2 linked regions of the Mytilus edulis genome follow. The main gene of each other region encodes a partner of the protein of the gene in region 2 in a complex. Links are inferred from orthologs where the notes say so. Each region holds a gene or a part of one and is shown on either strand. Other genes may lie near its edges.

Region 1 (7,288 bases), on a different chromosome or scaffold from region 2:
CCAATATAGCTGAACTTACCGTAAAGAGGCCCATTGTGAATTTGACAGTAAAGTTCAGCCAATGAAAAAACTGTTACATAAGGATTGCATTAGAAAAAAAATGTCCATTAAAGTCTAATTGAACAGAAAACGTTCGATCTTACTGCATTCAAATTCAATATTGTTTAATATGACTATACACTCAATCTTATTTCCTTAAGTTCTTAGATTTACCTTTTTTTGGCACACTCGTGTGACCTGAGGCTAAATATACAATAGATTCCAATACACCTCTGTAACATGCAAGTAATTTATTTCTTTCCTTCATGTGACCCTACAAATATAAAAAAAGGAGTCTTAAGATTCCACTTCAAGAACAGCAAATCTCTACCATTTATCATAATCATACATTTGTAACTATTAAAAAAAAGTACAGTCTGCTCACCAAGTATTATATGTCTTGTATTCCAAATTAAATATAAGTTGCCATGAAAAATATCTATCGAACCAGTATGCAACTATAGCTAGTAACCATGACGTTTAATTTATCAGATCTACCATTTATCTGGGGTCACTTAGGATATACTCACAGCTCTGTCTGGAATCTTGACATATCTTACTTGTATATGATTGGTCACTAAGAACAAATAATTCATTTGGTTTACATATGACAGGGTTCTCACTAAGATTTTTTTAAGGCAATTCAAGGGACTTGTCAATTTTCCCTTGAAAAGTCCAACAGTAACATGAGGATATTGCTATATGACCTGATAGAGCAATTCAATGACATTCATTTCAGATTACTTTTAAACTTTTGCTATATAATGATGATATACATGTATGTGTACAGTTTAAACAAAATATTTCATTCTTGATGCATTTTTGGACTCACCAGTTTTGAAAATGGTGAGTCCAGACAGATTTTCATGAGTCGAGGACTCATGAACTTGCCTTAGTGAGAACCCTGAATTATGATTGTTCAATAAGAATATGTTACTGAAAATTCAGAAATTATTGAGGGGTTTGTATTATTGCAAAAAATGTGACATAGTTGTAAACGCAATAATTAAAACTTGCATTTTGAAATATTTTATATGAATTAAACAGGATTTTTCTCAATATCTTAAAAATTAAAATTGCATTTACCGGTAAGTATAAAATAATAAAATCACAATAATAAATGCACACAATAATTTCAGAATTTATAATACTTACATCTTCGCTAGCCAAGGGTTACGATCCACTCCCTTTCTCTTCACCCTTGGCGGATTGAGATAAAATTTCAGAGACACAAGGTAAGGATTTTTATTGGTTGCAGTGGAAAAAGCGCCTATAACATGATCACGTGTAAATGTAGATAGTGTTTGTAAACAATTGCCACGTGTTTATTGTGCAACAAGTCTTTACATTCTATAAACATACGACTATATTTAGTGACAACTTGAATGTTTTTAATCAATTTGTAGATTAAGTTCATGTGTATGTTTCATGCACAAATGAATGAATGTTGACGTATATTATTGTTTCTGGCTTTATCAAGTGAGTAGAATCTACACGCTACCGTGTTTTTACCTCCAAATTGAAGAGTTCAAGTGCTACCATTGGTCAAGAATAATGTATTCGGAATGGGAATGACTTTAATCATCCGATAGATGGCACAACATTGTTTTCACAAATGTTGGCTCAATCCGCCAAGGGTGAAGAGAAAGGGAGTGGATCGTAACCCTTGGCTAGCGTAGATGCAATACTTACAGCTCTGTCTGGAATCTTGGCATATCTTGCTTGTATACGCCTGGTCACTAAGAACATATTGCTGACAGCTTCAAGTAGCACCTCATCCTCAAACTTCTTTACTTCTGCACTAGGAAGATCTAGGCCTGCACACACTTGACTAAAAATGGTTAATTATGAAAAAGTGAATTATAAATTAAATTTAGAAAATTGCTTAAACATTATCTATTCCTTGATAAAAGTAAACTTCAGAACAGTAAATCTGACACCAATATTAGTACATATAACTACACTGAACAGCTAGCTCAATATGTGACAAGGGTAAATGTTGTTTTTTGTTTATATTTATTTATCATATATGTAATGAAATAAGCCTTAGTTACTATAAACTAAAGCATAATTTGTACGCATGTGACTCATATAAAAATAAGAAGATATGGTATGATTGCAAATGATAAAACACTCTACCCGAGACCAAATGACATATATATTTGATTAACAACTCTGGGACCAGATGATAGATTTTCCTGCTGCACTGAAGACTCATTGGTGGCCTTGGGCTGTTTTCTGCTCTTAGGTCAGGTTTTTACCTCTTCAACACTTTCCAAATTTCCATTTTCAATTTTATCAGAAAACAGTTGATGGAATTCATTACATAAAGTTAACAATGATTAATACCTGAGTATAGCAGCCAGTGAAGCGGCAATTTGCCATTCTCCATCCACAATGGAAAAGTCTTGTTTCAAAACTAAAACCAGGGCTTGCAACAGATTGTATTCCCATATTTCTTTCCTAATTCTCATACCATCTTTGCTTCCAGCTACAGCTGTGCTGAGGATTTCTAATAAAATAAAATTTGAAATATACACATATACATGATAAAATGTTAATTTTTAGCTAATTTTGTGTTCTACACTTTTGAGATGTTTGGCCACCTTTTAGGGGGAAAAACATATTTGTATGATGGACCAAAATGACAAGGCCAAAAGGACTTATTGCCAAAAAGGGGCCAAACGTTTCCAATGTGTAGAACACAAATTGTTCTATTTACATGTACATGTATACAATGATTGTTTATGGTGTAAGACAGTGTATAAGTATAAAATGAAATCATGGCTGAAACTACTTTTTTTATACTAGTCCGAGATTACTCTGACGTCCAACGGCTGTTTTGCCAGACAAGCTGGGGCCGTGGGACGTCAGAGCTCGTCCCATATCAAAAAGTGGATATTTGCCCACCAAAAATAGATGCGCTGCTTCGTCGCTTCTGATGCCGACTGACGGCCTTGGAATTATATAAATCGGACATCAATCTGTTCATTTTTCATTTATCTCTTCATTTATGTAAGTTTCACCTACCTGCCAACCTTTATTTTTCCATATTTTAACAGTTTTCACAGTGACCCATCGATTTCGGCATTTTGACTTTCACTTTCAAATGGACGTCAAGTTATGAGAGAGTTCGTGGTCTCGAGACTCAAAATATGCAAATATCGATGTTTAACATTAGTAGCCAACCACGATTTTTCACCTCCTTTACAGGAGATCGGTATGACGCATTTAGTTCCGACCATGTTACAATCGGAAGCTCTCGGATATTTAGATAACTTGCATCGTAATTGAAGAGGTGTTACATTAATTATGGTCATTTGCATAAATCATCACTGTTTTCTCGTGGTCACGTGATTATCTTTGAACATGAGAGGCAAAATGCCGAAATCGATGGGTCACTGTGAAAACTGTTAAAATATGGAAAAATAAAGGTTGGCAGGTAGGTGAAACTTACATAAATGAAGAGATAAATGAAAAATGAACAGATTGATGTCCGATTTATATAATTCCAAGGCCGTCAGTCGGCATCAGAAGCGACGAAGCAGCGCATCTATTTTGAGTGGGCAAATATCCACTTTTTGATATGGGACCAGCTCTGACGTCCCACGGCCCCAGCTTGTCTGGCAAAACAGCCGTTGGACATCAGAGTAATCTCGGACTATTTTTACATATGCCAGAATTGGTACATGGCTGAAACGTTTAAACTGGAATCGACCAATTGTGAACTGGGTCCATGGTGGAAATGTCTTGTTTCCATATACACAAGTACAGATATGGACACTGAGACAGATCATAAGCAGATACATGTAAGTACAAAAAAAAATGAAGTAAGGATAGTCTTTTTATATTCTTATTTCCCAGTCAATAACATTAATATTTATCTTCATTTCGAGGAAGATTATGATAATGATTTTTTTTTTATATCTATATGTAGGTTTAAATCTTTGTGTAATATATTTGAGCATGACTGGTCTTGTTCAAATCAAAATTGAATGACTATAATAACCTTTCAGCCTCAGAAGCAAAATTGGGATACGTCTGTCTCGTGTCTCTGCTACCTCAGATGCTAAATTGATAACACGTTTATCTCTGGTAGGACTCGGCTGTCTTGACATTTTAAAAATATAAGTTGAAACTTGCCACACAAAATTTTGTTTACATGGTCATTTTGGCGCTTGCGACTGAATCAGCATTACGTTTAAAATCTAGCTGTCTAAAATAAAAACAAACTCGGTAAGCATCAAAACGAAAGTAAGAATGGCGGGAAATATGTCACAGTTCTAGTTAAACATAGCAAAATGAAGTTTAGAGGGAAAATCGTTGATATAGGATGTATTCACCATTTCACGAGCAAGTCCATTTGCATATTTTTTTATTCAATCAAGATTTAAATAACATATCCTATATATGGCACCAAATGTGCAGCTGAATCACAGGCACTTGTTTCTATCAATGGGAAGACAACTCGTAAATAAATAGTGGGTCTTCCCTAGTCTTAAAATCTTGAAAGGCTATTATAATTTTTTCTTTGACGCCTTACTCAAGACGTCATAATTATTTGGACTAGGTCTTCCCATGGATAGAAACTAGTGCCTGTGAGCTGAATATAGGTATATTGTTTTGTTATCATCGTGTCATATGTATAAGTACATCATATGTTTTTATGCGTCATATATGGTTTGGTATTATTCATATTTCATCAGTTTCAATTTCACAGGATTGATTACTACTAATACCATTGAATACCAAAAAGCATTAATTTCCCTGGGACTCTTAACAATCACCTCTGTAACTGTTTATTCCTCGCCTAATATGAGGCAGGCATTACCTATATGAAGTCTGTATGAATTATTTTTTTTTTTATTACTTCAAAATCTGTTAAAAAGAAATGGAAATACCGTAACGTTTCCGATTTTGGTTCTGTTGTTAGGGATTTTACTTGTGACGTTATTTAAGTTATGACGTCACGTTTAATGTAAACAACGAAACGTGATCATCAGTTAACGTTTATTCATATCAAAGACATTGGTATTGTGTTCCTTGAGTTCCTATATTTTACTAGACTACTCAAAGTCACATGACAACAAGACTGGAAGAAGGAAGTAGATTTCTGCGTTCTGCGCAAATGGGGGAATTAAAAAAAGTGACAAAAAAAATTAAAGATTTTAAGTTCATGAGTACATTTGTAGTATAGTAAAAATTTCGCGAGATTTTCCCTTTTTTTTCTTTTTTTTTTTTATTGATTATTCTACTGTTATAGGGGACTTCGTCCGATTATAAGTGTAACAAGACCACGCCTATACTGAATGACCTAAAGAAGTACTTCCTGAGCTCAACCACTTACGCTGACTTGAGTTTCAACCTCATTTACCAAGGGAATCAATCCCGTCACAAAAATAATACATTTTGACGTGTTTTCTGTTTCTATATTTGGGACATTAACAACACTACAATATGTACAACTTGACAAATGTCAAACCAGGAACATATATTTTGACGGGACTTGACACTACCGAATGATAGCAAATTTTATTGTCAAGTCATGGTAAATAAATTACACAATATGGAAATGGACATTTGTAAAATACGCAATCACTATTATCTTAATAATTTCTAATAATATCAATAAATGTCATTCAATGATCCATGAGAGAACAACATCTATATAGTGTAAAGAAAAGTTAAGGATACTGCTATTATAAACTTCTTTCTTTCTGTGTTAGAAGTTTCTGTTTGAAGTCAGCATTATATGAACATGATGAATAAAATTACAATTCAGCGTGAAGAGGTGCACAGTTGGTTCCCATGGGACTGCAGGTTGTTTGTTAAAATACACATTGTTTGGAAATTCTATGAAACCTTTTGTGTAAATGCAGTTTATTCACAATTTCTTAGAAGCATACATGTAGATGTGATTATTATTTATTATCATCATGATCATTATTTTAGTATGAAACATTTTAATTTTCAGGAGTAATAGGAACTCTCTCAAAACTAATTAAAAGTTGTGTCTTGAGAATAACCCCTGGTAACTGGTATTTTATACTTGCTGAAAAGTTGGCTAATGGAGGAATCCAGATCTGGTGTGAACTACCTCAGGTAAAATTTCTACCAGTATATTTAGGTGGTGAAAAGCTATTTTTTTCTGAACATTAAATGAAGTGCAATTACAAAATGTATTTTCAAACTATTTCAAAATAAGTTCAGACCAGATTAAACATCATAAAATGTAGTAAAAGCATATTCTATCATAACATTGAGTATTCCATTAAAGGTTTACATACATTGTGCTTCCTTCAAGTAGGTTTTACAGTATAAATGGCAGACACTTCTGTAAACATAATAAAATGGCAAAATTAAACAAAATCTGTACTGTTTTAAACTCTCATGCTATAAAAAAAAAAATGTGGAGCACAACTGTATTTAAAGAGTTATTCCAAGAGAAGAGGTATTGTTGGTTCAGATAATTATGACATTGACACTAAAATTTGAGCTTTTGCTCAATGCTCTTTTATCCAACATATTCCTAACATACATTGACATAAGTCTACATTTTGCTAAAATCTGCAAAAATTGAAAATGATGTAAGTTTTTTTTTTGTCAAGTCCAAGCTCTTTATACATGTCATATTTGCATTTCCGAGACCCTTTTGAGCATGTTAAGTTTAAAAATTATAGTGATATTGATATGAATGCAAACTGTTGTTGGGTAAACATTACATTAATTAGACAGTACAGTGGCTTCATCATTGTATTACAATTCAATTTAGTTTGTTTAAGTTGATACAATATAAGTCAAGTAAAATATCAAGTTTTATATAAGAAGTTAAGCGGATGTGGCATGACTGCTAATGAGACAACCATCAAGTGACCAACTATGGTTCACCTTATTGCCTTCAACAATGAGCAAAGCCAATTCTGAATGGTAATTGTTTTTTTATTGAAACTCTATTTTAAGGGTCGAAATGTACTATGTCTTTTAAAAATGTATTACCTAATATTGTTGCCAGTGTCCTTACAAATAATTACTTATTTATTTATTTATTTCCTCAGGGTCATTTCTTTGATGAATATGCAATGGAAGGAGTTTCTAAGGAGGCTAATGAGATTTACTTAGAGGTTGCTCCAGATAATATTGTTAAAGCTCTAAAAACAGCTAGCAATGCCAAGTGGATCAAGATTAAATTGACAAAAAAACATGTCCCTTGTCTTACTTTTGAAATTGATCAGGTAGGTGGACAAAAGAC
Region 2 (7,756 bases):
TCAAAACAGGAACGGACCGGACGGCGGTTGTTCTACCACCGCAGGCACGGGCGGCGGCGGCAGCTGTTCTACCACCGCAGACACGGGCGGCGGCGGCGGCGGGGCGGCGGGGCGGCGGCGGTATTGTTCAAAACTTTATAAGAAGGAGAGAACACGGGCTTCATCTAATCATGGACGAGTTTTATTTATTCGTCAATAGCGGAGACTCGCTCGATCTCTTTCCCGAGAATAGGGGAGGTCAGTTCTCAGTACGTTTACCTCGATCACACTTAACGAATGGAACGTGGGAGTGTGCCCTATTGGAAATGACGTTCGTGCCTACTTTCGAAATACCCACGCGCAGGGTCTACCTATGTTCCGACGTGGTGAGGGAAGAATCGTACGTCAGAGACACGTATTTACCACTACTTCAATCCGTAGCAGTGCGACGGGACGAGACGATGGAAGTCGTCTTCGAGAGACCACTCTACCGCACGACGAGAGGAGGCGAGGTGACACTATTGGAAATCACCGTCAGAGACGATAGATTACGAGTGTGCCGATTCAAGGACGATCACGTATTCTGCTTGCTGCATTTTAGAAAAAAGTTATAAGAGGATAGCGGATTCGATTTCGAAGTACATGTATAAACATGGAATGTCCTACCTGCCATAGACGGTTTTCCAGGAGAGATGTCATGTTGAGACATTATCGCAATCAGCATGGTAATGGGGATACGCCGCCGCCGCCGCCGCCCGTGTCTGCGGTGGTAGAACAGCCGCCGCCCGTGCCTGCGGTGGTAGAACAACCGCCGTCCGGTCCGTTCCTGTTTCGACACCCGTTTACTATGATCGTTTCGGGTCCGACGTCTTGCGGCAAGACGCATTTCGTGGCGAAAGTCCTCCGAGAAGCGGAAGCGATGTGCGAACCGGCACCGCAGAGAATCGTCTGGCTGTACAAGAGGTGGCAACCCCTCTACGACGTCGTACGAGACGGCGTGCACCCGCCGGTGGAGTTTGTGAGAGGCATCCCCGCCGACCTGGAGAGCGACGACTTCTTCGATCCGAGAGTGCGCAACATGGTGGTCCTGGACGATCTGATGACCCTCGCCAGCAAAGACACCCGCATCAACGATCTCTTCACCGAAGGAAGTCACCATCGAAATCTTTCCGTGATCGCCATCTACCAGAACCTGTATTTTGGAAAGGACCCCACACAGAGAAGAAACTGTCATTACATGGTCCTCTTTGACAATCCGATCGATCGACAGCCCGTGGCCACCCTGGCACGACAGATGTACCCGGGTCGATCCGAACATTTCCTGCGACAATTCGACGAGGCCACGAGAAGACGACACGGTTATCTCCTTGTCGACGTCAAACCGGAGACCCCCGAGACGGAGAGACTGCGCACGAACGTCCTGACGGGGGCGGGAGAGGAGGAGGAGACGACCCAAACGGAAGAAACGACCACGAACGATCTGATCGCCTGCGAAGAATGCGGACTGGTCTTTGTACACCGCCGCGGACTGGAGGAGCATGCGTGCAGCAGGGAGGAGGAGGAAAGGATCTCCAAGGCGAGGAGGCTCGACAGCAGCGAGGATACCTCCGAATACGACACGGACGAAGACATACTTCCCATGAGCGACGCAGAACTAGAAGAAGCGTTGGAAGGGTTACCGGTGGACGTACGTTGTGCCGAAGAGTTACCCGCAGACATCTCGCACCGACCGATGACCTATGTCGTCAACACGGATACCTGCGATGGACCGGGGAAGCATTGGGTGGCGTTTCACTTTCCATCCACGGGACCGGCAGAATTCTTCGATTCACTCGGACGTTCTCCGGAGTATTATCATCGCGCTTCAGGAACGTGCTCATCGCCAATGGACCTCAATACAGATTCAGTACGACTCAAGTGCAACCGGGATCATCCGATACGTGCGGACTCTATTGTGTACATTTCGTGAAGATGAGATATAGAAACATTAGCATGGAAGACATTGTGAAAGATTTTTCCCCTAGTGACTTGATGAGTAACGACGACAAACTGCTTGCATTGTACGAATGAATGTAGTAAATGTATATGAAACTGACATCTGCGTTGGTATTTTTTTTTCTATTTGCCCCGAACACGATACGATTAATCGGTGATTGACGTTCACACCTTGAAGAGTTGCCTCCCTTTTTTGTACCAGAGTTCTTCGATATGATCATGTGACCTTGCCTCGAACGTTGAATTGTCAATCCAAGAGAGAGAGATATATATACAGAGTTGCTTCCCTTGTTTTGTACCAGAGTTAACGTTCCTCGATACGATCACGTGACCTGTTGTCCATATATGGACATGTGTTTTATTTTGATGTTTGAGTGAAAATAAAGTTTTTACCAAATTTGGTCATAATTTCCATATATGGTCATAGGGTATCTGGTCGGTTTCCATATATGATCGTGTATTTTATTTTGATTTTTGAGTGAAAATAAGTTTTTTTACCAAATTTGGTCATGATTTCCATATATGGTCATAGGTTGTTTTGTCGATTTCCATATATGATCATGTATTTTATTTCGATTTTTGAGTGAAAATAAGTTTTTTTACCAAATTTGGTCATAATTTCCATATATGGTCATAGGGTATTGTGGTCGCTTTCCATATATGGGATTCATCATATGGTGGTCCAAGAGTCATAATCCGACATCAGGTGCTTCCGTTTTGATATATAGCCCGTATTATCATGTAGTGAGTCATGCCCTGATCTTGCATCCTGATGATTCATGGTCGCACCGCGTCATGACCAAATATGGACGGCGTGCATTCGGTATGACTCATCTTCCTTACTTACACTGACGTCATTAGGGCTAGTATATGCCCATATATCATATTGGGGGCGGGGCATGCGCATATGACGTCAGCGCCCTAGCGCCCTGTGTTTTGGGGGTGCCTAAAACTGAACCGTCCCTACTACTCACAGGACATAAAGTCACAAATTTGGTAGGACAAAAAGTCACAAATAATTTGTTGACAATTGTTTGAATATATAATAGAAATATCTTGAAATATTTACTTTTTAATACATATATTCAAATTAAAGTTTAGGAATTGTGTCATTATGCTTGAAAAATCAAGATTCATTTAATTTTAATCATGCAAATGATATATTTTTTGGCACCATGAAGCCATTTAAGTGCCAAGTCACTTTGACATTTTGTTTTTTTTTAACAATTATTTGATTATCTTTGATATATTTTTGATTAATTTTGTTTACAAAGTTGGTATATATATACAACAGTTCAAGAAAAATACAAAAATATTTTTGTAGAAATAAGCTTTTTTTCTTTAAAGAAAATAATCAGAAAAAATGAATTGTGACTTTTTGTCCGGTGACTTTTTGTCCGTGACTTTTTGTCTGTGACTTTCTGTCCTACATTCCGCCACAGTAATCCCTACGTGTGACTTCCGTTAACTAACGAAATTAAGTAGGAACACGGAGTTATAATTTCATTATACATGTAATATCTTCAATAGAATACTTCCATGCTCACACTAAGCAGAACATTCTTACAATGATGCCAAGGTTATATAATTTGTCTCTATATTTGCAAATTAGTACAGTTGCACATATCCCAATGACAGTAACATATATTTACCATACCTTATAATGTTATAATCACAAAAGCGCTTAGACTTATGCATGCACAGACTTTTTTGAAGAGATATCTGAATGCTAATCGTAAAAAAAACCTAGCCAACTTAAGATAATATAAAAAACAGCTATATCAAAACATTCAAAATCAGAACACTGTTATTTCAGTATTAATAGTTTTCCCTCCTCTTTGTTTTTTATAAAAAAAACACCATTTGAACTCCCAGGGGTGGATCCAGCCATTTTAAAAAGGGGGTGGGTTCCCAACCCATGATAAAGGGGGGTCCAACTATACGTCCCCATTCAAATGCATTGATCGTCCAAAAAAGGGGGGGTTCCAACCCCCAGGACCCCCCTCTGGATCCTCCACTGACTACCTTATAACACAATACTCAAAAGATGAAACCAAACAACATGCACAATTACAAGGATAAATATATCCAAATATTTTCAAGTATTCGCATAGAAAAAAATAAACCCTGCCCGCCGGTATAACGTTCTAGTGTAGTCTTCTATATATACGCCGTATGATTGGGTGAACCAAAAAAATGGAGTGGAGAAGGTTTGTAACGTAAATCAATAGGTTAAACTGTTTCAAAAGATCGTACGAAATTTTAAAGGATTGATATACCGGGGCGGACCCAGCAATTTTGAAAGGGAGTTCCCTTCTCAGGACAAGAAGAGGGGGGGGGGGGTATAGTTTCCATTGATCGTCAAAAAATTGGGTCACAACTCCCGGAATCCCCCTCCTGGATCTGTCACTGTATGGACAAGCGGTGTATAGAAGCAGAGACGTATGAGACATATAATACATGTATTAATTATATATGTCTCTGATTGAAGACTTTAGAAATTAGAATAAATTTAAAAGTATAATTTGTACAACTATATCCCGTATTCTGAGATGACTATATACTGTGTTACATGTATATATAGTAGTCTCAGTCCTATTCAAACATTTTTTAACAACTTTTTCCCTTTTTAACAAAATTACTCGTCTAATTATGTGTTCTTGTTTATCAACATAGAATTCCAGTCTATTTTCTTAAAATAAAGGGTTTTGTGATCAGGTGATCAAATCTTTCCTTTACTCGCAAATTTTACACTCTCCTTGAATGAAGGAAAATAAATTCAATTGAAAATGGCGGGGAAAACAAAAAAATGATTTTTCTGACAATTTTAACCAAATTTATCTGACTATGGCACTTTCAACGCAACAGCCTGAAAATGATGATAGATATGTACTTTTAGCTAAAATAGACAATGCGAGAAATGTATCGAACATTCTGAAAGCCATTCATTTTAAAGAGGTAAATGAGAGATCAAAGTTAACTGTGAAACACAAACAACACACAGTCACAGATAGTCACTTCGGCATGTGGTCAAATCCGTCGGTTTAAGCTCATTAGAGCTTATTTTATGTCCTATCAAATTTTCGACTTTCTGCCTGTGACTTTCTGTCTGTTTAGTAGTAGTGTTTACTTAATGAAAGTCCCTGGTGCTACATTGACTATACATGTAAATGTAGCCTTTTGTAGGTGCTGATTTGACCAGGTGTCGATTTGACTTTTCATTAGCCATTAGGTGCTGAATAAACGTATTTACACTTTGGGTACTCAGCTGTAAAATTTGTGCTCAATTGACCTTAGATCTACTCTGAATCAATGTAAAGAAGTAACATCAAACATTTAATCGGTACTATTCTCAGGGAAAATATACTACTTCATATTTTCTTTACACAACAAACTCATTGGAAAATAGTAAAATTTCCCCTCAAATCGGTTAAATGTGTGATGTAACTTCTTTATGTTGCTCTTAATCATGTTTAAAATTGACTGAGTACCAAGATGTCGAAAAATAATATAAACTGGAGTCAAAAGTCGGTAATATAAAAATAGTCTATTAACATTGAGAAATCCATCAGTTGTGTGGCCACTGAACATAAAGGAAGCTCAGAAATCTTTCCCATTTTTAAAAATAAAGTATAAAGAATATCATGAACATGATGAATATTGTTGGAATGTTAAAAAAAATTTTCTTTTTCTGAGACATTTATATACCTTTAATACCAATTTATACATGTTATAAGTTGAAAGTGTCTAGCAACTCATGTTAGTTGTTGATATGCTTACAGTCACACAGTGGCATTAAAAATGTTTTAATAAAAATTAATTTTAAATCTGTTCCTTTACATCAGTGATTATTGATAATTACAACAATACACATTACAGTGTACATGTAAATGTATATGGACCATAATTTGGTATTCGGCCTTTGGTTTCTTTTTGTATCCTTTTTTATAAGTTCTAAAACTTTAACTTTTATTCTGTGGGTTGTGTTGGTGTTAGAATAGTATTAATGGAACAATTGAGTTTTTCAAGAAAAAAATAATACATTTTGATTCACCGTTTACGTGACAGGAAACCAAACAGGAAACCAATCTTTATTTTCTTTATTTTGCACAATATATTTCAAAAGACATAAATGAACACCATTAATAGTGTTACTTGCTTCATGTTAATATTTGAAATCTATTTTCAATGTTAAATTAAAGTTTTTTTAAACGCGACAGGAACAATGAGGAAACCAAAAGAAACCGAAAGCATTTCTTTAGTTTTATTTTATTGCAAAATCTGCTTAAAATAATCTGAACAGTAAACTTTTTCTTAAAATCCATCTTAAATGTAACAGTATTATAAAACTCCTAAATATGTGCTTGTTTTGAAAACAATTAGTACAATTTATTCAGAAATTTCCATATTTTCTTCATTGATACAGGATACCATAATCGTTGTATCTTGATGTTTTAGCCAAAAAAATGTATTTATATTTGGTTTTGAAATTCCAGTTATATACAATTAATTCCAAATCATTGGCAATGTAAAATTCTTTAAATCCAGTAAAGAAAAAAACTCTAACTTGGAATTAAAATCTTTAAAATAGGCACCATGTGATATTTGTGACCTGTACACCATCTACATGGTTTCCACATTTTAACCTACTTTAGTGGGCTAAAATCAATAAAGTACTTCCTTTCAAGTCATGCATGGTAAAAGTTTACTTCTCCTTTGACAAGTTTATTGCGTTTCTGAAAAGTGTTTGCAGAACATGAATAAAAAAAAATAATTAAAAATTGTGACAAAGATACCAACTTTGTACATTCCAAGTGTAACGGTATATTAACATGTATTTTTTATTAAATTATCTTTATTCACCTAAAATATCCATTAATATTTACTGCTGAAACAAAATCAATCTAACGAGCATCGGCACAATGATAAGAGACGTAATGTCTATTGAATTTTCAAAGGACCCTTTACATCGTTATCAGGAAACAAAGTGTGTTATAATGTCTGTCAAATCTGAAATCGATTTTGTCAAGTCATTGGGCATTTATTTTCACACAATATCGTATGTAACATTATGCACATAGGAAAAATAATAGACCCCCGGCGCAATCTCTTTGAAAATTGTATTTTCCTTTTTTAAACAAGACGAAACAAGTCTACAGATTATGTTTGCTAACATCCCGTTGGAAACAAAAACAATGTTTAGACCTAGTATTTCATACATCCGGCCGTAAGGGCGTGATCACATGTAAGTCACATGTTTCACGTATGACCGGAAATGATTAGAACTTAACGACAAAAACAATTTTAATAAAAAAAGGAAATAACTGGACTTCTGTTTCGTTTGAAATGTAACGCATAACGATAACGACATTTTCTTACTTAATTATTACGAAGAACAAAACTAGAATGTAAATCATCTCTGATTTACCTGTTTGAACATCTCGCGAGAGTTCATATTTGGCTACATATCTGCTCTGTGCCCATTTTGCTGTGACAACCATTGAAAATTAAAAACTAAGCCAAAAACATCAGTATCAGTCATTTTTTAATAGCTATGGGTTGTATTTATTCAAAAAATATCATCCATGGATAAGATAATGTCTCATCATTAATTTCTGCATAGTTCAATAGGTCTTGCACGTTATTTAATGTAACATGGACAGACATGTTCTTATTCAAGGTTCCAAAGAGTTTTATTAATTTAAAGTGAGTAATTGTGAACTGTTATCATGTAAGAGCAATGTGTCATTCATAAAAAAAATCATAAACCATTCAAAACAGT

The links. The genes of interacting proteins can lie anywhere in the genome.
Region 1: the proteins of cell cycle checkpoint protein RAD1-like (region 2) and checkpoint protein HUS1-like are in contact, whole or in part, in a crystal structure (PDB 8GNN), measured with the Homo sapiens proteins. The link is inferred for Mytilus edulis from reciprocal best matches to the Homo sapiens genes RAD1 and HUS1. Residues at the interface, in NP_002844.1 of Homo sapiens: Asn85, Val88, Asp91, Cys92, Ser94, Ile95, Phe96, Gly97, Ser98, Gly127, Val128, Val129, Thr130, Val131, Cys132, Lys133, Ile134, Asn135, Gln137; in NP_004498.1 of Homo sapiens: Thr165, Ser168, Val169, Lys172, Met173, Asn175, Ile176, Glu197, Leu198, Val199, Cys200, Val201, Thr202, Thr203, His204, Phe205, Lys206.

The regions. Positions count from the first base shown.
Region 1 is NC_092345.1:33,788,553-33,795,840, forward strand, and holds the start of checkpoint protein HUS1-like, read left to right. Parts: upstream 1-4,279; 5' UTR 4,280-4,340; coding exon 4,341-4,392; intron 4,393-6,013; coding exon 6,014-6,141; intron 6,142-7,094; coding exon 7,095-7,271; intron 7,272-7,288. Other genes in the region: IQ calmodulin-binding motif-containing protein 1-like, read right to left, coding at 214-313, 1,732-1,870, 2,389-2,551, 4,049-4,157. UniProt on the Homo sapiens protein: Component of the 9-1-1 cell-cycle checkpoint response complex that plays a major role in DNA repair. The 9-1-1 complex is recruited to DNA lesion upon damage by the RAD17-replication factor C (RFC) clamp loader complex.
Region 2 is NC_092349.1:72,360,001-72,367,756, forward strand, and holds the start of cell cycle checkpoint protein RAD1-like, read left to right. Parts: upstream 1-4,737; 5' UTR 4,738-4,821; coding exon 4,822-4,932; intron 4,933-7,756. UniProt on the Homo sapiens protein: Component of the 9-1-1 cell-cycle checkpoint response complex that plays a major role in DNA repair. The 9-1-1 complex is recruited to DNA lesion upon damage by the RAD17-replication factor C (RFC) clamp loader complex.